2 linked regions of the Anolis sagrei genome follow. The protein of the gene in region 1 interacts with the protein of each later gene in a pairwise test. Links are inferred from orthologs where the notes say so. Each region holds a gene or a part of one and is shown on either strand. Other genes may lie near its edges.

What was found.
Region 2: the proteins of SIPA1L2 (region 1) and AP3M1 interact in binary tests that used the Homo sapiens proteins (3 or more experiments, as listed by UniProt). The two-hybrid records come from large-scale screens. The link is inferred for Anolis sagrei from reciprocal best matches to the Homo sapiens genes SIPA1L2 and AP3M1.

What each region holds. Positions count from the first base shown.
Region 1 is NC_090021.1:60,219,907-60,232,131, forward strand, and holds the start of SIPA1L2 (signal-induced proliferation-associated 1-like protein 2), read left to right. Parts: upstream 1-6,989; 5' UTR 6,990-7,365; intron 7,366-7,388; exon of another isoform or gene 7,389-7,514; intron 7,515-12,225.
Region 2 is NC_090023.1:148,568,029-148,580,327, reverse strand, and holds the start of AP3M1 (AP-3 complex subunit mu-1), read left to right. Parts: upstream 1-6,960; 5' UTR 6,961-7,069; intron 7,070-12,299. UniProt on the Homo sapiens protein: Part of the AP-3 complex, an adaptor-related complex which is not clathrin-associated. The complex is associated with the Golgi region as well as more peripheral structures.

The sequences.
Region 1 (12,225 bases):
GTCCTAGTTGTGATCAGAACACTGGGTGCAAGTGCTTAAAGATATTGGCCTGCACTTAAAAACAATCGGCACTGACAAAAATACCATCTGTCAGTTGCAAAAGGCCACCTTACTCGGATCTGCACATATTATTCGCTGATACATCACACAGTCCTAGACACTTGGGAAGTGTCCAACGTGTGATCCAGTACAAAAGCCAGCATTGTGATCTTGTTTGTTGTATACTAATCTTGCTATGTATCAAATGATGATGTATTGTAGAAGGCTTTCTTGGCTGGAATAACCAGATTGCTCTTAGGTTTTTGGATTGTATGGCCAATTTTCCAGGAGTATTCTTTCCTAGGAGTGTATACTATTGGAACATGGCTGAAAAGGTAAAGATTTCTCCTGACACTAAGTGTAGTCATGTCTGACTCTGGGGGTTGGTGATCATCTTCATTTCCATGCCAAAGAGCCGGCGTTGTCCGTAAACACCTCCAAGGTCATGTGGCCAGCATGTCTGCATGGAACACAATTACCTTTCCGCCAAGGCAGTACTTATTGATCTACTCACATTTGCATGCTTTCGAACTGTTAGGTTGGCAGAAGCTGTGCCTAACAAAGGAAGCTCACCTCACTTCCTAAATTCGAACCACCAACCTTTTGGTCAGCAAGTTCAGCAGCTTAGCAGTTTAACCCGCTGTGACACCACAGGGTCCTTTTGGAGCATGGCCCATACAGCAACCCTATAATAATAACAACAATAATAACAACAATAATATTTACTTCTTATCTGCTTCTCCTCACTGGTCGAGGTGGGGCACAACATACTAAATAACATGTCATCATAAAACCATTCAGTAAAATACATACGTTAATACATATTAAAATATACAGAACAAAGATGAAAATACATTAGAGAAAAGACGTGACTTTAAAATTCATAGTTAAAAACTGACCGAGCAGGGCTGTTGGAAGGGATACGTATAGGTCTTCAGTTGTCTGAAAATCATGGGTGAATCTGCACTGTATAAGTCAGGGGGCAAAAGTATGATAGCTGGGGCCCTATGCTGGTTGCCCCGGCTCTTCCACTGTTAGAAAGCGGGCAGAGGAAAGCAGAAGAAGGGGGGAACTGGGGATCCGATTCCTGACTCCCTGTTCGCACTAGGGCCTTGTAAAAACCTTCCCTGGCCGCCACCACACTTTCTGCCCTTCGAAGAAAGCAGCCCCAGCAGCTGGGAGCAGTCCAAGCAGACTTCCCTTCATTGATTCTGACGCACGTTGCACTACTAGCATAGGGTTCGTAGGGTCCCAGCTATCATACTTTTGCCAGTCAGGGACCTGTTGACAGCCCCTGAGACTCTTGGGAGGCCGGACTATAGTTTGAAAAAAAATGCATTAATTCCTGTGGACAATCTATAGTACACACACACACACACAGAAAGTATAATACAATATTTAAAATGCAGAACAATCAACACAAGCTTACCAGTATTTTAGTGGGAAGTATGTGACTGTTTTTGGCTGATACTCAAGTTAATTAGGATTGTTGTTGTGTGCCTTCAAGTCGTTTCAGGCTTAAGGCAACCTTAAGTCCAAAGTTTAGGGTGGGACCAGATAAACGACTTTGGAGGGACTTCGTTTGAGGAACCCTGGTGTAAGTGATGCACTTTGACTCCACTTTAACCGCCAGTGGTGCAATGGGTTATAAATCCTTGTGCAGGCAGGACTGCTGACTGAAAGGTCGGCGGTTCTAATCTGGGGAGCAGGGTGAGCTCCTGCCTGTCAGCTCCAGCTTCCCGTGCGGGGACATGAGAGAAGCCACCCACAGGATGGTAAAACATTCGGGCGTCCCCAGGCCATCCTTGCAGATTGGCCATCCTTGCAGATGGCCAATTTTCTCACACCAGAAGCTATTTGTGGTTTCTCAAGTCACTCCTGACACACACAAAAAAACCCCCAAAACCCACCATGGCTCAATGCGATGGAAGTATGGGAGTTACAGTCCTATTTGGCAGGAGGGCTAAGGACCCAAAACTTCCATGATTGCAGAGCACTGAGCCGTGGCATTTAAAGTGACAGCAGGATGCCCTCCTCTTCTGTAGAGTTTAGGTAGGAAAGCAGGCCGGTTTCCTGACATCTGTTGCTGTTTTCCTTCATAAACCGTGCGACTCTTACTCATTAGATGTCCAATCGTGTCTTCCCTGAAAGAGGAAAAGAAGGAAGGTCAGCTGAGGCTCCAGGGCAGTGTTTAAATAAGGCTAAACATTTGACTTGGCCTGAGTTTTAATGGGAAATGGCTGTGGCCCACTAAAGGTTGTGCCTAATAAAACTGGACATGGAAATGAGCCCGAGCGCAGCGGGGAGCCCCGCCTTCACATTGGTGTGAACCGCAGCGGAGAGTTCCGCAGTTCCTGGATCAAGCTTTTGGGACCAGCAGATGAAATGTGCCCCAGCAGCCAGCTCAAAGCCAGGAATGCTTGCAGCTTCACTTTGCTTTCCCTTACCCTTTACTTTGTATCATTTCCCTAATAAAAGTACTTGAAACTTGCAACTTTTCATCTCTCCGCTTGATACTTTTGTATCCTTTCTGACTCAAACCATAACAGCACTAAAATAAACCCTTTTCCAGGCTCCGGAGAGCCGTGAGCATGCGGGAGGCGCTTCCGGGTGCCCCCCAGACCCCGGATCTGCGTTCGCCTGGACCGCGGATACGGAAACCGCCATTTCAGACCCCCTTATCCACGAAAACACATAAACTGGCGGATCGCCGCCGTTCCAATTTTATATTTTTCTACAATTAATTTTAAGACTAACCGCTGTCTCCCTTTTCTCGTTTTGGGCCCCTTCACCCGGGAAAAAAATTAGTTTTGTTTTAAGTATTTTATCTTGCAGAGAAACAGCTGATTGTCAAACTAGCCAGGCTCTTCGCTTCTCCTCGGCAGCATTCGCTCCCGCTCGGATCCAGCAGCCAGGGACCCACTGCGGCCACCCGTAGGAGTCCCGGGAAGGTGGCCAGGCATGGGTCCCGGCCTCTGATCAGGGAAATGTAGTTTCCCAAAGGACATTGCCCCATCAATCGCAACCCGGAAACCCTCCTTGGACTCTCTTATTTGCCCTCTCCTATTGACTTTCTGCTCCACCTCCCGGACTGTTTTCTGCCACATTTTTTGGGGCACAAACCTTCAGATCAGGCTTGCCCCGATTCGCAAGTAGCCTCCGTTTCCGTGTGCCTTCACCAGGAGACCATGAACTTCTTTCAATAATGAAATGACTGAATATTTTTATTAATAAACTTTCACTGGGGATGGGATTGCCTCATGAAATGTGAAAATATATGAAATGTATGTAATGAAATATTATAAGAAATGTACTCTGGTTCCCCTCCCCGCTTCTCCTCTTTGACCCTTGCCCCAAAAGGAATGTGACCTAAGGATTACTGTGACAGGGAGGAAATCCTTTGTCCTCCCGAAACGGTTCATATTTACATTTGCATGGGCCGTGTGGTTGATCCCTTCTCAAACTAACTTTCAGAGCAGACAGTAAGGGAGGGAAGGGTCAACCGAAACTTAGGAAGAAAAGACTGATTGAATCATTTTTAGGTATTTGTTGATTCCCCTTTTTACGAGGCTCTGAGGTCCAAATACCATCAAAAGCCCCTTTTTCACACTTCCTCCCAAATCCAATCATAGACCAGGAAACTCATTGTTCCCCTATCTGTCACCCCGCCGGTGAGGACAAAGCCCCACATTTCAGCTGGCGGATGCCCCCTGGGCTCATCATTTCCTCTGAACTGTCAAGCTTCGTCCCGCCTCCTGGCTGCCGATTGGACCATCTTCGGAGGCGCTAGGAAGGCGCTGATTGGCCCCCTAGAGGCAGCGGAGCTCGCTGATTGGACAGGAGGCGGGACGCGCAGCCAAGCCTCCTCCCAGCTGTTCCGTGGCCAGCCAATCAGGGCGAAGCCGGCCGGCAGAGGGCGGGTGGGATTTTTGAAAATGTTTCCTTTGTCTGTACGCTATAAAAATGCCTGGAAATTCTGTAAAACCATGCTTGTATGTGAATCATCACTACAATTGCATCCTTTTCAGCTGAATCGCAAAATAAACGCTTCGGTCGCTGAACTTCTTCCGCCTCCGGTGAGATTAATTTTTAATATTTTTTGCTCTTTGGATTGGCTTTCGCTGGCTGCTCACCGAGGTTTGAGGACCCCTTTTGCGGTCTTCTGGGATCTCTCCCGCTGGGAGACCCTCCAAAAGAGCTCAACATCAGAAAGAAAGAGCAGGGGTGGAAAACTTGGGCCCTGCAGGTGTTTTGGACAGCAACTCCCACCATTCCTCACTGAGGAAGCGGCTGAGGGGGAAAAGAAGGGGCCTGAGGCTGTGAGGAATGGTGGGAGTTGCAATCCAAAACACCCACAGAGCCCAAGCTTGGCCAGGCCTGCAAGTCTACACTGTAGACTTAATGCAGTTTGAATACCACTTGAACTTCTGTGTGCCCAGGGGGGAGTCTCTCATTTGGTATCAGCCATTGGTTGAGGCACACAGAAGACTGGGCGACTTGGAAGGCGCTGAACAGACTGTGCTCTGGCACCGCGAGATGCAGAGCCAACCTTCAGAAATGGGGCTACAAAGTGGAATCCACAACATACGAGTGTGGAGAAGAGCAAACCACAGACCACCTACTGCAATGCAACCTAAGCCCTGCCACATGCACAATGGAGGACCTCCTTGCAGCAACACCAGAGGCACTCCAAGTGGCCAGCTACTGGTCAAAGGACATTTAATCAACTACCAAGCTTGCAAATTTTGTATTTTGTCTGTTTTGTTCTGTTAGAATTGTAATACAATTGACTGGTTACCCTGACACGACAAATAAATACCACTTGAACTGCAATGGCTTAAGCGGCTGAGGGGGAAAAGGAAGGGACCTGAGGCTGTGAGGAATGGTGGGAGTTGCAGTTCAAAACACCTGCAGGGCCCAAGTTTGCCCAGGCCTGCGAGTCTACACTGTAGACTTAATGCAGTTTGAATACCACTTGAACTGCAATGGCTTAAGCGGCTGAGGGGGAAAGGAAGGGGCCTGAGGCTGTGAGGAATGGTGGGAGTTGCAGTCCAAAACACCTGCAAGGCCCAAGTTTGCCGAGACCTGCGAATTAATGCAGTTTGGACACCACTTGAACTGTAATGGCTTAAGCAGCTGAGTGGGAAATGAAAAGGGCCCGAGGCTGTTAGGAATGGTTGGAGTTGAAGTCCAAAACACCTGGAGGCAGGCCCGTAGCGAGGGGGGGGGGGTTAGGGGTTCAACCCCCCCCCCCCGAAATGTTTCAGATTTTTTTTTCAAAACCTGGTTTACTCATGAATTTTAACTGGTTAACCAAATCCCCATGCTAAGTCTATGAGATGCAAAAAATCAAGAGTCCCTCCAGAACTGCAAGCACTATCTCAAGCAAATATTAGCAATTTATTCACACTGTCATTACTTGCAGCAATAGCTGATGTAGTTGTTCTAGTACAGCTGTACCAGGAGCTCCAACTTTATTTGCTTTGTATTAAATGTTTGCTTGCAGTCCTAGGTTTCAGGGACTCTGCAGATAGGTGGCTTCTTTGGTTGCAGTCATAGGGCAAGTCACCTGTCCATCATTGTTAAGTTTTGGTCCCGCCCCTTGCTCAGGGCAATTGGGAAGGGAAGGGAGCCATTTTTAGTTAGTCTCAGCAAGGTAAGCTTATGTATAGGATGTGTGCAAGCTTCCCCTGTACAAAAGCTTTAACCCTTAAGACCTTCCGGGGGAGAAAGGTTTTAAGAGTCTCCAAAGAATTTCCAGGAAAACAGCCCTAAAGACCAAAGAACTCCAGCTGGAGAACATCTACTGCCTTGCTGGTAGGTCCACTCGGCATTCGAGATGCAGTTCGACCCTGTAGCGGAGTCCACATCAGTAAGGGTTAGATTACAGTCAGCCTGGGAGAAGTTAAAACGGGGATTTTCCTTTAAAGAAGAAGTTATTGAAAACAGTTGCCTGTCCTTCATGGGCAAGATTAGGAATTCACCAGTTGCCTAAAAGCTTGGAATCATTTGCTTAACTTTACTGAAGACAAGAGAAGTTTCTGTTTGATTGTTCTTTAATAAAAGACTTTGTTGTACTTCTCAAGCCATCTAAAGACGGTTTGTGGTGGAAACCTCTGAGAACTTCTCTTTAGGCCTCCTGGCTTCCCGCTGGGCAAAGATTGCACATCCTGTTCTAAAGACAATTATTTACAGGCCCAGCACAGGACAGAACAATAGTGAAGCAACCAAGTTTGGGGGAGGGGGGATGTTGAATGCTCTCATTAAGGAGGCCAGACTTGGTGGAGGTGGTTGACAAGGACGGAGCTGCAGGCTATTGAAGGCTGCTCTGCCCCCTGCTGTGCTCTTTGCTACAGCGTGAGCTAGGAGGCAGGTTTCAACCCCCCCCCTTGCGAAATTTTCAACCTCCCCCCCCCCCCGAAAATTTAAACCCCTCCCGAAATTTTTTTCTGGCTACGGCCCTGCCTGGAGGGCCCAAGTTTGTCCATGCCTGTGAGTCTACACTGCAGACTTAACGCAGTTTGGACACCACTTGAAGTGCCATGGCTCCATGCAATGGAATCATGGGATTATGAAGTTCTTTGGCAGAGAAAGCTAAAGGACCTTGCAAAACTATAACTCCCATGACGTCACAGTTTTAAAAGTTGTGTCGGAGTGTATTAATTCATTCTGCAGCGTAGATGCACCTTACTGCAAAACAAGAGGCAAGGAAGGAGAGAATGAAAAAAAAAAAAGAAGCAGCAGCGCTCTTCGGACTCTAAAAGGCAAAGGAGACAAACAATTGGAAGAAGGAGGGGGAAAAAGGGGGGGCGAAAGGGGAAGGGCAGGGGGCGGGGCGTTCTGCCATGATGGGGAGGAGGGGGCGTGCCTTCCCGAACAGCACAGCCCAATAAGCGTGCTAGGGTTGGTCACAGAGTGAGGAAGGCAGCCAATGGGAGGCGAAGGGGCGTGGCTGAGTGGGTGCGGGTGCCTTGTGCTGGAGCTAAGCTCATCTTTCGGGCTCCCATCCTCCTCCTCTCCCTTCCTTTTTTTTCCTATCCGGCAAAACTGAGCCTGCAGCTCTCCGTCCTCGCGCTGGCGAAAGAAGCGGCCGTTGAAGGGGAGGCAAGCGGGCGCGAGGGGGAAGGAGCGGCGCGCGCCGAGGAAGGAGCCGCTCGCGCCCCCTCCCCTCCGCGTCACTTCAACAGACCCTCCGTCCTCTCTTGGCGAGCGCGAGGCAGTCAGTCCAGTCAGTCAGTCAGTCGCTCAGCGAGAGAGTTGACTTTATTTTTCCCCTCTCTGGCGAACGCGGGACTCTTCGGCTGAGGGAGGAAAGGAAAGAAGAAGGTGAGGGGTTTGTTCTCCGCCTGGGAATATAGGGAAGTCAAGCGCGGTGCGAGAAGGACTACCTGGGGGCCTCCCTCGGCCCGGCCTCCGTCCCACCACCGGCACCTCTCTCTCGGGGACCTTTCCCCCCTCAGACCGTCGTTTTGTGGGTGAGAGAGAGAACTGGCTGGGATGCTTCAGGCTTGGGCTCTTGTCGCCTTGTGTATGTTTGCGTGTTGTGAGCTCTGTTATGATTTCAGGGGCATTTCTAGTCTAGGCTTTCACCCCCCTCTCTTTTCTCTTTCTCTGGAATGCCCGAGACTTGTAGGGGCCTTGATACTGCAGGAATGCACTGTGTATGTATGACTATATGGACTAGGTGGGGGTGTTTAACACTTGTGGGTCTTTTATAGTGTATATTTTAAGTCTGTGTGTGTGGGTAAAGCTATTAACAACACTATTTATAACAACACTTTATTTGTATTGTCGAAGTTGTTCATGGACGGAATCATTAAGTTGTTGTGAGTTTTCCGAGCTGTATGGCCATGTTCCCGAAGCATTCTTACCCTGGACCTTCCACAGATATAGAAACCCAATTTCCCAGTTTCCAACAAACCTCACAACCTTGCCACAGATGCAGGCAAAACGTCAGGAGGGAATGCTTCTAGAACATGGCCGTACAACCTGAAAAACCTACAACAACCCATTCTCTTCTGACGTTTCGCCTGCATCTGTGGCAGACAACCTCAAAGATCGTGAGGTCTGAATGCTTCTGGAACATGGCCATACAGCCCGGAAAACTCACAACAACCCAACACTTTATTTATAACCCGCCTTCTCTCCCCCCCTTTATAGTTCAGGCAAGGAGTGTACTGACAATGGACAGGCTTTGGACACTGAATTAGACTTAGATATGGCTATATGGTTGATAATAATGTTTTAAATTGATTATTAACCTAATGTTTTTATCTAAAACGTAATGTCATGGTATAGTGTGTTTTTGTATGTGTTGGCATCGAATTGTTGCTGGTGTAAGCCGCCCTGAGTGCCCCCCCCCCCTTGTGGTTGAGAAGTACAGGGCACAAATAATACATGTGTGCAAAAGATTTGTGGGTATACCAGGCATGGGCAAACTTATTGTGTATACCATTTATACCAGGCATGGCGTACTTTGGCCCTCCAGGTGTTTTGGACTTCAACTCCCACAATTCCTAACAGCCACTTCCTAATTCAATCCATGTTCCCCACCCTTGTGATGGTAGAATGTGGACTTCATTACCACTGAGCCTAATTGGAGCCAAACATACCCAAAGATGTATTGTCAAAGGCATTCATGGCCCAAATCACTGTCCCAGAAGCATTATCTCTTGACATTTTTCTTGCATCTATGGCCGGAATCCTCATACCCAAAGATGGTGAACCAGATTTGCTCTCCCAGATTTTGGCCTTGAGGTGGGATGCAAAACTCCTCCTCTTGATTTTCCTTTCCTTGACAAAATAACCATGTAGGTTGGGTCCAGGCAATCTGCCTCTCCATATCATAGAAACACAGAGTTGGAAGAGTCCACAAGGGCCGTCCAGCCCCATATGAATCTTGGGTTCATGGCATGACTTCTCTAACAACATTTAGTAGCATATGTAGGAATAAATTGAAAAGAATAGGGATAGGTTCCTACACAAAAAGGGAGTTAAAATAACTAATACGCACATTTGAAATAGACATATGCTCAAATCCTCTGTGTGAGAGAGAACCGGTTGAGGTGCTTTGGATTTGTGGGGATTTTATATAGTGTAGGCATAAATTAGGTGTGTACATTCATGTGGGTAAGTCTGCTGGGGTGCTTAAGACTACGGAGCATTTATATAGCCCTGGCACGGGCAAACTTAGTCCCTCCAGGTGTTTTGAATTTCAGCTCCCCCAATTCCTTACAGCCATAGTTACACAGTATATGTATGCGAACTGGCAGGGTGTATGTGCATAAGACTCGCGGGGCTTTTGTAGTGTAGTGTAGTGTGTTTGTGTATGAGCTAGCTGGAGCACTTAAGTCTTGTGAGGTTTTATAGGATAGGAATACACTATGTGAACTGCTGAGGGTGCTTAAGATTTATGAGGATTTTATAAGAGTAGGCACACTGTGTGTGAGCTGCTGGGGTGCTTAAGATTTTTGGAATATTTATGCTGTAGGCATGCAGTATATGTACATGGGAGCTGCGTGTCAGGTGCTTTTATAATGTGGACATCTTTCATAATATGGGCACACTGTGAGAGAAAGATTGAGAGAGAGCAAGCAGGAGTGCATCAGCTTTCCGGGGCATTCATAGTCCAAATGCATAGTGTGAGTGTGTAGGGGAGTTGATTGGCAACAAAAACCTTGCTTTGTTTGTGTAAAAGAAGGAGGGAATGGGGAAGGGTGAGTTCTGTCGGCTGATGGAAAAAAAGGGTCGCTTCTAATCCCTTCTTAACATGGATGAATTTTTGTTCGGGGGAAATGGAGAGAAAATTCAACTTGCCTCTGCCCTCCTTCCCACCCCCAGCCTGCACTCCCTTGCCACTTGATGGATAGAAGGCGCTTCCTAGCATTCATTTGGCGTCAAGATGGGAGGGGAGTAAATTTAGTGGGAGAAGCGATGTTTTGTTGCTGGGAAGGAAGGGGGGCAGGGAAGTTGTGCTTGCTGCCTGCAGGTGTCCTATGGGCCTCCTTGGTGTATGGAGAAACATGGGGGAAATGAGGGGGAGGGGTTCAATGGGTAGGAATGACTCTCCCCCACCCCAGACCTCCTCTTGTGTGATTTCTGTACTGTTACTATGCATCATTTTAAAAATAAAATCTACAAAACAAATATCCTTGGTCAGCTTTTACTTGCGCTGGAGAAATTGCATATGGAGGTGTTCTCAGTTTTGGCTGCTTTGTGTGTAAGTTTTAAATGAATGCTATGTTCATTTCTGTTTTTGAAAGAGGTTGTATCTCCTTTCTCCTGAATGTATATCAGTTGCAAGTTCAAGAGTGGCTTTATTGTTCAGCTCAAATGAAATGATTTTTGAACAGTATATTTTGAGGTACGATATTGTAACCAAATAATATTCAGTGAGTTTTTGTTATTTCTCTCTCTATTCTATCTGTCATCACCACTTTTTTCTTTGACAGTTTGAACAACAAATACCAGCTTTTTTATTTCAACTTTTTCTTTGTTAATGTCTTGGCATACATTGGGTTAGCATATATTTAGATGAAACATAGAGGATGGAATTGAACCTTCATTGAAGAATTTTGTTGTTTCATTATGAGTTTTGGGGTCAGCTTGAATTTGAAGTATTTTCTTCAGACATTGCCACAATAACAAATAAATATTTTCAAGCAAATACTCTTGTTAGGAAGAATGATCTTATAAATTACTTTACTCGAGTTTTAAAATGCAATTTCATTTCTAAATGTTAACACTAGGTGGCTTTCTTGTATCATTCAGAAAACACTACACCCATAACTGTCTCTACTGACTACACCATTTTTGTTCCTGCAGTCAACTGCTATGAAATGTTACTGTCTTGTTCCGTTTAATAATAAATGATATTAAATCAAATGTATACTTTTCCCCTTTGGTAATTTTATTTTGCCATCCTGATTCCAGAGATACTACATTTGTTTCACTGTTTCAAATTCTTCATTGATAAACAAATTTCAGATTTTTAAAATTAAAAGGTCTTTAATTGGATGCATATATTAAGAAATTAATATTTGCAATGAGGGATTCACATATTGTTCCAGCTAATGTAATAGCTTTATTGTAAACAATCAGTAATTTTTTGTTGTAAGTTGTTTGTATTATCTCTTATACTGTGAGAACTTATTTTCGAGGATACTAATAGTGAGCAGCCCTTTAGGCAGTCTTTGGAATGGAGAGAGCTGGTTTTGAAAAGGGCTAGAGCAGGCATGGGCAAACTTTTTTTGCCTTGGGGCTGCATTGTGGGCTGGACCATGAGAGAGAAGGGCTGGACACATACTGGGCAGGGAGGGGCCGGGAGAGGGAGAGGTCAGGAGGGACAGGGCAAGGCCCAGGTCATCGTCAGGTTGTCCTCCCAGCAAAAGGATGGGGCTACTCACCATATTCTTATGCTGGGAGAAAGGTGGGACACATGACTATTGCCCCCTTCATGATTCTCCTCCCCATCCTCCTTCCCCGATCCTCTTGGCATTATGCTGAGAGGAGGGCAAGACAGGCAGTGGCTGAGAGTGATCCAAGGGGCTCTCAGCTGCTGTGTGCCTTCCTTGAGCTGTCCTCCCGGCATATGAATGGGGCCAATTGCACCATCCTTATGGCGGGAGGAAGAGGGTCTGAAGTCAGGGAAAATGATGAGGGTCTGAGGTAAGCACCCAGGGGGCTGCATTTGGCCCCCAGGCCTTAGTTCGCCCATACCTAGGCTAGAGGTAGTACTGTGGCAAAGAGAGTAGATAGAATCTGTTCTTTTTTATTCGTCCAGGATGGACTAATCTCATGCCTTTTGTTACTCTGAGATGCTATCTTTTTATTAAAGTTTGGATACATTACTTATATTGATCAGTGGATAAGTTGATCCAAGTGTTTTAGGGTCATCCTGTTGACTACAATTTCTAGGCTTACAGGTGAATTATAAGAGTACTTCATAGGAAGCATACTTAAGAACTTAGGGGGAGTTACTTCAGAAAAAAATGCAACATTCATCACTTTTTAAAAAACTTTTAATCATGTCGATGACAGTGATTATATTCATCTATATCCTTCCCTTTCCTCAATGAGATTCAAAATGGCTAAAACATTTTTAAAACAATACAGATTGGAAAACTATACAGGTACTTTCATAAAAAATAGAAATATAAAAGCAATTTTAAAACAACTCAGCTGTTT
Region 2 (12,299 bases), on another chromosome or scaffold:
GGCTTTTTACTAGAGCCTTCAATCTCTGTTAATTTTTAATTTTTGTATGTATGCATTTTATCTTTTATAATTTAGCTGTAAATCGCCTAGAGCATTCTCGGATGAAGGGCGATTAATAAGTTATTAAATGATGATGATGATGATGAGATACTATTTTAGATACTGTTCCATTATCCAAGTGTAGGCCACTAGGGGGCACTAAAGAGAGAAGGATAGTCCATTTTAGGGGGGTGGAGGATGGGTTGAAGGAGTAAAACCGCTTTGCCCTGTTTTCCTGTTATTCTCCCTACCCATGTCCCCTTCATGGCAACAACCCTCATTTATGAAATGGGAAGTAGGGAGGGGGAATAATCAGCAAAAATGGAGGAAATGGTTCTCCTCCTTCAACTTCCCCCACGGTAAAATGGGCTATCCCTTTCTTTCTAGCGCCCCCTTGTGGCCTCTGCCCAGATAATAGAGCCGTACCCTATTTTATACAACTACTTACATGGATTCCTTTGTAGTGGAATTTAAGCATGCATATACACATAAGATTAGTAGTCTTCCCTTTACAAAAAAGCATTAAGTATGCATTTCAACTTCTTACGTGCCACACATCTGATCTTAGTTTCAGATTTGCATGTACTGAACAAAATATGACTAAGCCTATCAAATGTATGGAGAATCAGAACTGAAAGGAAGGATCTTAGTCATGCTGGCATAAATGGAATTTTTTTTTTTATTGAGTTTTTATAATACAATGATAGAAAAGAGAGAACGACAGACATACACTGAGAGCATAACAATGAATCTAAAGCTGTATTTTGAAGCGTGTTGTATGGAATGGATCAAAGAATGGATATTACTGAGAAATAAAAAACTGCTAATTCTAGAAGGCCACGATCTAAGAACTGGGTGGCATGCCTATTTATGGCATAATAAGGCAAAAGTAGAAAAAAAAATTAGAAACCATTTCATACGGGCCGCCCTTTTAAAAGTATGGGACATGTATAAGGATAGGATGTACCCCAAAACACCACTATGGGTCTCCCCCCTTGAAGCCCACCAAAGGAAAGAGCTGGGCTGGAATTTATGGCCAACGTATAAGGAACTATTGCTAAAGGAAAGAAAGGAATTCAGTATAAAAACACAGGACGTATTAAAACAACAATACAATAATATCACTTGGCTCCAGCACTGGCAGCTAAATGAATACTTTAAAGAAGACAACAAAAAAGGCTTTATGGAATTCCCTTCTGTATGGGACAGACTCCTAGATATCACCAAAAAATACATAACAAGAGCATATAAGCTCTTACTTGAATGGGCTACAGAGGAAGAAAGGATAAAAGAATACATGGTCAAATGGGCTAGGCTAATAGGAAGATCTATATCTTTAGAGGAGTGGAACAAGATCTGGAACATAAAAACAAACTACTCGTATTCCTACTATTTTAAAGAACACTGGGTGAAAATGGTACACCAATGGTATCTTACACCGACTAGGATAGCCAAATTTACCAAACATACATGTAGCAAATGTTGGAAGTGCGGGAAGGAGGAAGGGACGTACAAACATATGTGGTGGTCCTGCAAGAGGGTACGAAAGTTCTGGAAAGTAATCCAAGAGAGCTGTCAAAAAATACTAAAAAAAAGTATCCCCTTAAAACCAGAATGGTTTCTGTTAGGATTAACAGAAGGGCAATGGGATAAAGAGACGGATAAACTATTCACATATCTGATTACGGCAGCACGCTTAGTGCTAGCCAAGGTTTGGAAACAAAGAACCTTACCAACGGAAGAAGAGTGGACAGAGAAAATAATTGAGCTAATGAATGCGGACCACCTAACGTTCATTCTGTCAGCCTCAAGAAACATGCCGGTACTACCAACAAATTGGGCACCTGTAAAAGTATGGCTTAGAGAAAACAAGATAAAATGGATAATAACCTAAGTCCCAAGTAAGACCAGGGGAGAGCACACCACCTGAGAGAAAGACCTAGTAACGCAGAGTAGTCTAAAATTCTCGTCAGGAGGGTCGAAAGAAAGTAGAAGAGAAGTAGGTAATGCTAGACGAAAAGGGCCCACAAAAAAAAACAAAAACAAAAACAAAAAAAAAACCTGGAAACAGGGAAAGTTACTGCTTAGACTGTTAAGAACCCAAGGATTTTTCCTTGTAAAGAATTATAGGTTCAAATGTTATAGGAAAGAAACAGTGGATGTTAGGATAGGACATGCTAGGAAATAAGAATCAGTTTTAAAAATTAAAGAAAAATAAAAGTAAGATACCAGATAAAGAGATACCGTAGACAAAAGAGTAGGAGGTCCACTGCCGTCATGGGCAGTTGCTTTTAAATGTATTTGTAGTGAGTGTGTTAGGTAAGTTAGGTGATTGTCAAGTTGTAAAATTGTGTATTATTATGTATGACACGTATGATTGTGATTATGTCATTGTCATTGGCATAAATGGAAATTGAAAGACAAACTTAATTGAAGTTAAGAAAGTGCTATCAAATACACTTTCCATGCTTTTAGGTGGAGCTCAACATGAACAGGCTCTCTTATGCATGTTTTTCCTTCTTTCAATGAAATGCATGGAGTTTGCTTAAAAATCAGTACTGTCAGCTGCCTATACACACACACACACACTTTCATTTTATTTTGGGAGTGCATTAATGCAGCACTTAGTACAAAAAGAGGAATTGGATTATACCTCATCCTGCACTAAATCTCATCTGAACAAACCTCTGATGCTGTCCATTTGGATTCCTCTAATTGCAAAATCTTCTGAATTAATAATCTATTAATAATCTATGCACAAAGTTCACCGTTCTGCCAGGCGTTCATTCTTTCATCTCTCTAACAAAAGACACAAAGTGCCTCACCACACTACAGCATGGATCCGGTTTCTGCCTCCTGCAGAATTCTGGGGTTTGTAGTTTAGTGAAGCCCAGGACCTGTCTGGCTGAGCATTTCAAAAGCCCTTCCCCTAAACCACAAGCCCCAGAATTCTGTAGGAGGCAACAACTAGATTTAAAGTGGATCCATGCTCCATGATGAGATCCTTTGAGGATAGCTAATATGATCTGCTCTTCACAAGCTTTTCATTTCCTAGTCTCATTCTATATCTTCATTATTTTTAAATAGGCTTTTTGGTGTCAATAAAGAAGATTTTAAAGTCGCCTTCGGGCTGAGAGTGGCGGTTAACAAATGCAAATAATAAATAAATAAATAAATAAATAAATTTAAAGATTTGTTTTGATTTTTTTTTAAAAATGCCTTTTTACAAACTTTTTTGCATACAAGTATTTATTTATTTATTTATTTACTTTGCTTATATACCGCAATTCTCAGCCCATGGGCTGAGCAACCATGGGCTGTATCACATAATGACCAGACAGACTACTGCAGCCTTCCAGATGCTATTGGACCAGTTTCTATCAGTTTCTCTCAGCAATACCCCGCACTGACACTGCATGTCATACCACAAGGGGGGGAACCACCGAGAAGGCCCTTTTCCTCGTCCCCACCAGACGTGTTTGAGAGGCTGATGCGACCGAGGGCAGGGCCTCCCCGGTGGATCTTAAACTACGAGGCGGAACGTTGAGGGAGATACGTTCGGACAAGTAAGCTGGGCTGGAGCCATATTATTAGTAGTAGTAATATTACATATAATATAAATATATCTATATATATATAAATGCTCTGTACGTAATGAGTACCTTAAAAACAAAACAAAAAACCTACTGGGCCAAATGACCCCAAATTTGGCAACAAAACTCCTCACAATCCAAGGAGTGACCATCACTGAAAAAAAAACCCACAAAAATACCTTTAAATTAAAAATATTACTATATTAAATAGACTCATAGAATAGAGTTAGAAGGGACTCTACCATAGGATTGCAGAAGAACAGACAGGAAGGAAGGAGAGAAGAAAGGAGGGAGGGGAAAAGGGAATGAATGAAGGAGGGAAAGGGGGAAGGAAGGAAAGAGAGAAGGAGGGAGGGAAAGAAGGAAGGAGAGAAGGGAAGAGGGGAGGAAGGGAAAAAAGAGGTACCGAAGGAAGGAACAATACAAAGTAGAAAGGAAAGAAAAAGGGGAGGAAAGGCAGGAAAGAGGTAAAGAAGGAAGGAGAAAAGGAAATAAAAAGTGAAAGAAGGAAGGAAACAGGGAAGAAAGGAGACAAAGGAAGAAGTAGAGAAAGGGGGAAGGAAGGAAGGAAAGAGAGAAGGAAGGATGAAACCAAAGTGGAAGAAGGAATGAAAAAAGAGGTAGAGGAGGAAGAAAGGAAAGGGGAAGAAAAAAGGGGGAAGGAATAGGTAGGTACCGCTCTTTCATAACAGTCCAGATATCTACCTCTACTTCGAAAATTCTTACTATAGGCCACAGCAATGCGTGGCAGGGCACACCTAGTATAATTATAATATTAGTAGTAGTAGTAGACGTAAATATATGTCCTAAACGGTTTGAGACCCGCCTACCTGCGTGACCGCATCTCCGTATATGAACCCACACGATCCCTCCGTTCATCTGGAGAGGCCCTGCTCATGATCCCACCTGCGTCACAAGTGCGTTTGGTGGGGACGAGGGACAGGGCCTTCTCTGTGGTAGCCCCCCGACTATTGAACTCTCTCCCCAAGGACATCAGACAAGCCCCAACGTTGGCAGTCTTTAGGAGGAGCTTGAAGACCTGGCTGTTCCAGTGTGCCTTTCCAGAATAGGAAACTCCCAGCATCATGTCCCAAACGCACTTTACCAGAAATTTAAGATTGCCTGCACATTGCACCTACCCTAAAATCCTTACATTTCACCAGTCATGTCCAGCACTTTTAATGTATTCATTACATTTGGCCCGGCCCTAGTTTTAAATGTGTCATGATGTATTGTTCTGATGTTTTACTGTTACTGCTTTAACGTTTATTGGTTTGCTTTACGAGTTTTATTGTTGTATTTGTGATGCTGTTGTTTTATTGAGGGCCTTGGCCTTTGTAAGCCGCACCGAGCCCTTTGGGAGATGTTAGTGGGGTACAAATAAAGATGATAATAATAATAATAATACCATAGTACAGGCAACAAGGTGGAACTGTCCTCTGCCCCCCTCAATGTGGACTCAGATAACCCAGTTCAAAGCAGATATTGTGGGATTTTCTGTGGTTATAGGACTGTGTGGAAGGGTCCTAAGTAATCAGTCCACACTGCTATATATTCCAGTTCAAAGCAGAAAATGTGGGATTGTATTATTTATTTATTTATTTATGGCATTTATATGCTGCCCTTCTCACCCCAAAGGGGACTCAGAGCGGCTTACAAGGTATTTTATTATTATTATTATTATTATTATTATTAATTAAACTTTATTTGTACCCCGCTAGCATCTCCCGAAGGACTCGATGCGGCTTACAAACGCCAAGGCCTCAACACAACAGCAGTAAACAACAACAATACAAAAGAAAGCAAATTAAAAAACATATGCAATAACAAAACATTACACTATTACACAATAAAAACCATGGCCGGGCCAATGATGGGTACAGGTTAAAAAGTGCTGGGTGTGACAGGAGGTGTATTGGAATTCTGGGCAAGTGCAATGTGCAGAGAGTCTTAAACTCTAGTAAAGTGCTTCTGGGACAAAGTGCTGGGTTATCCTATTCTGGAAAGGCACGTCGGAATAGCCAGGTCTGGAAGTTCTTCCTAAAGACTGCCAACGTGGGTGCTAGTCTAATGTCTTTGGGGAGGTCGTTCCAAAGTCGGGGGGCAAACACAGAAAAGGCCCTATCCCTCGTCCCCACCAAGCGCGCTTGCGACGCAGGTGGGATCGCAAGCAGGGCCTCTCCAGATGACCGAAGGGAGCGTGTGGGTACATAAGCGGAGATGCGGTCACGGAGGTAGGCAGGTCCCAAACCGTTTAGGGCTTTGTAGGTAAGCACCTGCACCTTGAATTGGGTTCGGTAGGTAAACGGCAGCCAATGGAGCTCCTTATACATACAATATATTATATTATTAGCATAGTACAATATCAGTTTTAAATATTGCTATATTGTACTATACCAATTAAGCTGTGTGGAAGGGGCCAAAGTGTCCTCAAACTGCACTCAAAGTATGGTTTAGATCTGTGGTTCCCAACTTTCGTCCTCCAGGCGTTTTGGATTTCAGTTCTCCTAATTCCAAACTCGCTGGGAGTTGAAGTCCAAACCAAAGGGAGGGCCAAAGGATAGGGACCACTGTTGTAGATGCCCCAATGGCGAAATGTCGGCCCCCCTGCTGAGAAAGGAAGAAAGGCATGCAGGCAGGCTCCCAGGCCGCAGGAACAATGCATCCCCGCCTTCCCAAGTGGTTACTGGGCAACCGGGCCCTTCACAATAGCGGCCGCTCCAACTCTGCAGGAGCGCGAGGCAGAACAGGTGGTATCCCGCAGCGCCGAGCTCCAGGCGTTCGGACTTCAATTCCCAGAAGCCTCCGCTGCTTGGGCCAATGGCCGGGGATTCTGGGAAACGGAGTCCAAAGCCCTGACAGACCAGAGTTTGGGGACCGTTACTGGAAGGGCTTCTCTTGGAGGTGCCAAACCTCCCACTGAACGGCGGAGGAAGGGGCCGGGGGCCGGGAGAAGCCTTCTCCCTCCCTTACCTCAGCCGGGCCGGCTCCAGCTTGGGCTTCTTGGCGCGGGGCTCCTCCGCTGCCATCTTCACGCCCGTCCTGCGCGAGACTGGTGCTTTGGCGGAGGGGAGGGGGGAAAGGAGGAGGAGGGCCGCCCCGTCCTGTCCCTTTCGGGGAAGCCGGCTGAGGGGAAGAGGGGCTGTGCAAGGAGAGTGCCTGCTCCGGAAAGGCCCCCCACGCAGGCCCTTCAAAGCGGGTTCGTGGAAGCCTGTGTTTCCTTTGCCACGCTGAGCAAATTATAAAGCATTCCTCTAATCAACCGAAAGAGGCGCCTCGGGGTCGTGAGGGCGGGCGCCTGACTTTCGGCGCAGGCAATTAGCGAGGACGCCCTGCTGGGGCGGGGCGGGGGCCTCGCAGCCATCTTTGGCCAGCGCCACTGCTCTTGCTGCTCTCGCTGCTGTGCTGGCACCGACGCCGCCTCCACCAGCCGAGGGGTGAGTCCTCCAGAGGGGCCGGGGAGGGCGGCCCGGGTAGAGAAGAGGCCCCGCTGCCTCTGGCCATGGCTTCGTGCCGCCCTCCAGGTCCAGGAAAGAAAGACACGCGTCTCTTTGCCAGCCTTCAAGGGGCCTGTGGGTGGGTTCAAGGCTGCCACACAGGGGTGGTGGAATAATACAGTTGGAAGGGACCCCAAGGGCCATCCAGTCCAACCCCCTGCCAGGCAGGGAAAGCACCATCAAAGCAACCCCGACAGGTGGCCAAAAAGAGTGCCACTTTCAGGGCATTCATAGAACCATAGAGTTGGAAGAGATCCCAGAGGCCATCCAGTCCAATCCCTTGCCAGGCAGGGAAAGCACCATCAAAGCAACCCCGACAGATGGCCAAAAAGAGTGCCACTTTCAGGGCATTCATAGAATCATATTGGAAGAGACCCCAAGGGCCATCCAGTCCAACCCCCTGCCAGGCAAGGAAAGCACCATCAAAGCACCCCTGACAGATGGCCAAAAAAAGTGCCACTTTCAGGGCATTCATAGAATCATAAAGTTAGAAGAGACCCCAAGGGCCATCCAGTCCAACAGCCTTTCAGGCAGGAAAAGCACCATCAAAGCAACCCCGACAGCTGGCCAGAAAAGTGCCACTTTCAGAGCATTCATAGAATCATAGAGTTGGAAGAGATCCTAAGAGCCATCCAGTCCAACCCCCTGCCAGGCAAGGAAAGCACCATCAAAGCACCCCTGACAGATGGCCAAAAGGAGTGCCACTGTCAGGGCATTCATAGAATCATAGAGTTGGAAGAGATCCCAAGGGCCATCCAGTCAAACCCCCTGCCTGGCAGGAAAAGCACCATAACAACAACAACAACAACAACTTTATTTATACCTCGCTCCATCTCCCCCATGGGGACTCGGTGTGGCTTACATGAGGCCACGCCCATCAGTACAGTACACACAATATAACACAAAAACATAACAAAACCAGAAAATAAAATACATAAAATGCAAAACCAATATAATAAGCGACACAACAATATAAAATGAAGCATTAAAAACAACATCAAAGCACCCCCGACAGATGGCCATCCTCTATTTAAAACCTTCAAGGAAGGAGCTTTCACCACACTTCGAGGTAGAGAGTTCCACTGTTGAACAAATCTTACAATCAGGAAGTTCTTCCTAACATTCAAGTGGTATCTCCTTTCATGATTTGGTTTGTTTTTTGGGTCAGGGTGACTTGAGAAATGGCAAGTTGCTTCTGGTGTGAGAGAACTGGCCATCTGCAAGGACGTTACCCAGAGGATGCCCAGATGTTTTACCATCATGTGAGAGGCTTCTCTCGTGTCGCCGCATGAGAAGCTGGAACCGATCGACGAGAGCTCACCCTGCTCCCCGGATTTGAACTGCCGACCTTTAGGCCAGCAGTCAGTTTGATTCCTCTTTGTCTGACCCCATCAGGCCCTGCTTTGCTCACAGAGGAGGGCTGGTGCCTTCTGGGTAATAAGACAGGTTTAGTGCTCATCAAGAAAAAGGAGGGGACACTGCTTGGGCAATGCAAGTCTCTTGGGAGCGAAGCAGGGCCTGATGGGGTCAGAGCAAGAGGAACGAAACCTCTAAAGCTTCTACAGGAGCCGATCACCTTGTAAAAGAGGTGGTTGACTTCTGGTCAGAAAAGAATTCATTGATAATTTTATTAAATTACAATTAGTTTGCATGTCATGATAAAAAAATAAGTATATTGCCTTGCCTTATGACTTACAAAGGAAACTATTTAATTTTGCCTTAGTAATGGAACAATAATACTAATGAACAATGCAAGGAAGGAAGAGGAAGGAAACGAGTTAGTGGCCATTTTGTACCTCAAAGAAGTTGGTTTGTCTGTGAAGAATCCATGTAGTTGAAACCTCAGAACCAAAATTTGCTTCCTTATGTGCTGGAAATCTTATTGTAAAACTATTAGAGTTGGACCAGTACTGATTTACCATTGAGTAGTTGATTCACTGGGCTTCATCATTAATAGGCTCTCGCTGTATCATTGTCTTCCAAGGGCAGAGTCTTTCAGTCCGCAAATTACTGTAGAGACCTATGTTGGGTCCACATGGTATTTCATAATAGGAACAAATGTCCAGATGGAAGGCAGTCCCAGCAAGAGTTTTATTGGCACACCTTCCTCTTGGCACATTTCTCCCTTTTGCCCCCACCCCCCATTCATTTTTCCACAAAATCCATAGCACTGTTGGTAACAGCTGACCTCCAGTTAGCATTTTGCTTGAAGACCAGGCTTCCCAGCTGTCGGTTTACTATTGAGCAGTTGATTCACTGGACTTAGACTGGTTGCATCTAGCAATTTGATTGAGACATGTATTTCTGTAATGTGTCATCTAGATCAGTAGATCTAGATGATCTACTGATCTTTGGCCTACAACTCCCAGAAATCCCAGCCAGTTTACTAGCTGTTAGGATTTCTGGGAGTTGAAGGCCAAAACATCTGGGGACCCACAGGCTGAGAACCATTAGTTTAGATAAATTAAACTGAAGGTTGTGTCTGTGTCAGTCTTGTGCCAGATTTAAAAGAGAAAAGGTGGTGTTCATGTGGCCTGCTGTTTTCTCTAAAGCTTTGTAGTCATGATCTTGCTTTAGTCTTGTATACTTTTTGGAAAATCTGTATTGTAATACTTAGAAACAACATATTTTGCTAGTTCTAGAAAACACTTCCTTAAACTATCTATACAGGTAGAAATGGTGATTGAAAGATTGCTATTCAATATTTTTATATAATTCTCTTTAAAAAGAAAAAAGAATCATTGGGAAACAAATGAAGCACATCAAAAGAATTCCTCTGGCATCTGTTTTGATTATTTACTTTTGGTTAAAAGCAGGTGTCAGTGAGACCTAGAAGGCAAGTCAGATCTCATCTGTAGATCAAGATCAGTATAAGTGATTGGACCTAGGAAACTACAGTGACTTTGCATAATGCCCTAAAGCTCTTTTTTTAATATACAAGCCAAACCCTAAAAATTTATGAAAAGCATGTTTATGCCAGATCTGTATTCTCAAGGAAGAAAATAGCCTTTTCCTGTGTTTTACTGTTTCAGGGCTGATTTTGTTTCTTTCCCAAGAAGCTTCTTTGGTTAAACATATTTTAGATGCAAAACTATAACCATGCATTCTTTTTGATGTTCTTGTCCAGTTTGATAGGGGACAGGGAAAAGGTTGTTTTGTATTCCGTGTCAGGGGCGACTTGAGAAACTTCAAGTCGCTTCTAGTGAAAAGGAAGCGCTTCTTAACTTACTGTAACTGTTGTGTGCCTTTGAGGCCTCTCTGACATATGGTGACCCTAAATTAATATAATTTGGCTGTTTGGTCAAGCATTTCAACATTTTTGTTAAAGTCAAGTGAAAAGCACTGTTAAATCACACCAGATTGCCTCTAGCTTCTTTTCTCCATAATATACAGAGGCATTGCAGGCCGTTTCAAAATTTAGACAAGAGAGTTTCCATATAATCACATTTGAAAGGTACAGATCAGGAAACTAGATTACAAACCAGAAGCATTAAATGAATTATCCTGGTATGTTTTAAGAGATATTCTATTGTGTGGAGCATCTGAAATGGATTTAAGTTAATTAGAAGGGTATGTTTAAGTGTGTGTTTCCCAGCACAGTAACAACTATTATTTCTTTGATATTACATGGCTCATTAAAAAGTATAATTTGGCAATTTAAGCAATAAAAGCAAAATATCCTGTGCAGATGTGATATTAGTATAAGTCTGTAGAGTTCTTTTTAGTTAACATCTCTGCCTGACTGTCAAAATCTACTGTATTCAGCTGAAGCCTTTGCCTTCAGGAGACTTCTTTGTACTACAGGATTGTAGCACTATGATTCCACTTCATTTGCCATGGAATCCCTGGGATTTGTAATTTAGAGAGAAGCTTTTAGACTTCTCAGGCAGAGAGCTCCTCTAGTGTCTCTGATCAAACTACAAATCCCACATTCCTTAGGATATAGCCACAGCAATTCAAGGGAAATTACAGTGTTATATGTTTACATCGTGAAAGAGTCCTGAGGTTAAGTTAATGGGATCTTATTTTGAGTATATGAAAGCCAAATTAGTTTGGGCATTGGGAATGTATCTTGATACGTCCAATTTCTTTTTGCCTTGTATTCTAATTATCATCTGAATCATGGTAATATAAGTAGCAGAGATGTATGAACTGGACATACTTTATTTACCTTCCCATACCCTAGAAGTAGAAGACCAGTGTGTTTTTGATGCAGACGCAAGTTATGTTTAACCATAATAATAGTTTTCCCAAAGCCTTTGAGAATATCTAGTCGCAATGGTCCGCAATTGATGGCACTGCACTGCACTTTTGTCCCATGCCCTAGTTCATTAGCTAAAATTTGCATTATCCTATTCCCTGCTCCTGTTTACAGTTGGCTATGTTTTACAACAGTTCTCATCATAAGTTATTAGGTGCTGTTCTGAGCTTAAACTTGCTTTTATATACTATTGGTTTTAACTTGTATTGTATTGTGTGTTTACATTTTGCCATATGTAAGCAGCCCCGAGTCCCTTCGGAGAGATAGAGGCAGTGTACAAAAATAATGGTAGCTGGTGGGTTCCTTGTCATGGGATCAGTGAATCTATCCAAAGTTCTAGTCTAAACATTATAATGGAGGTAATCAACATGTAGTATTATATCCCTGAAATAGTGTCAACACCTGAGAGTCCCTTTAAACTTTGGCCTAAAACCCAAAGAGGATTCAGTTGCTAACTGCTGTGGAGTTGACTTCAACCTGTGGCAGCCCCATGACATCCAACTCACCCTGTCATCAGCAGCTTGTGCAGTTCTTCCAGATTCAGGGCCGTCACTTCCTTGGTTGATTCTATTCACCAGGAATGTTGCCTTCTCAATTTTTTACTGCCTTCTACCTTACCAAAAGTCAAAAATACAAGAGTCTCAGGTGCTCACTTTTCCTCTGAATTTTAGGCTAGCTCTTGGCATCAGTTGCCATTTCCATGTGACACTTGTCAGCTGCTTGCAGTGAGAACCAGCCTTTTCAGAATTGTTTGCAAGTGATCCTTAGGCTTTGTAGCAGAGTCATCCTGCCTCAAAGCTCAGGTATAAGAAGCAAATGTGACTTAGCTTAGTGTTAAAACTGTTATTGCAAATACATCGGTTCCAGAGGGCATCAATATTGTGCCACAACCATTTGAAAACTGTATTC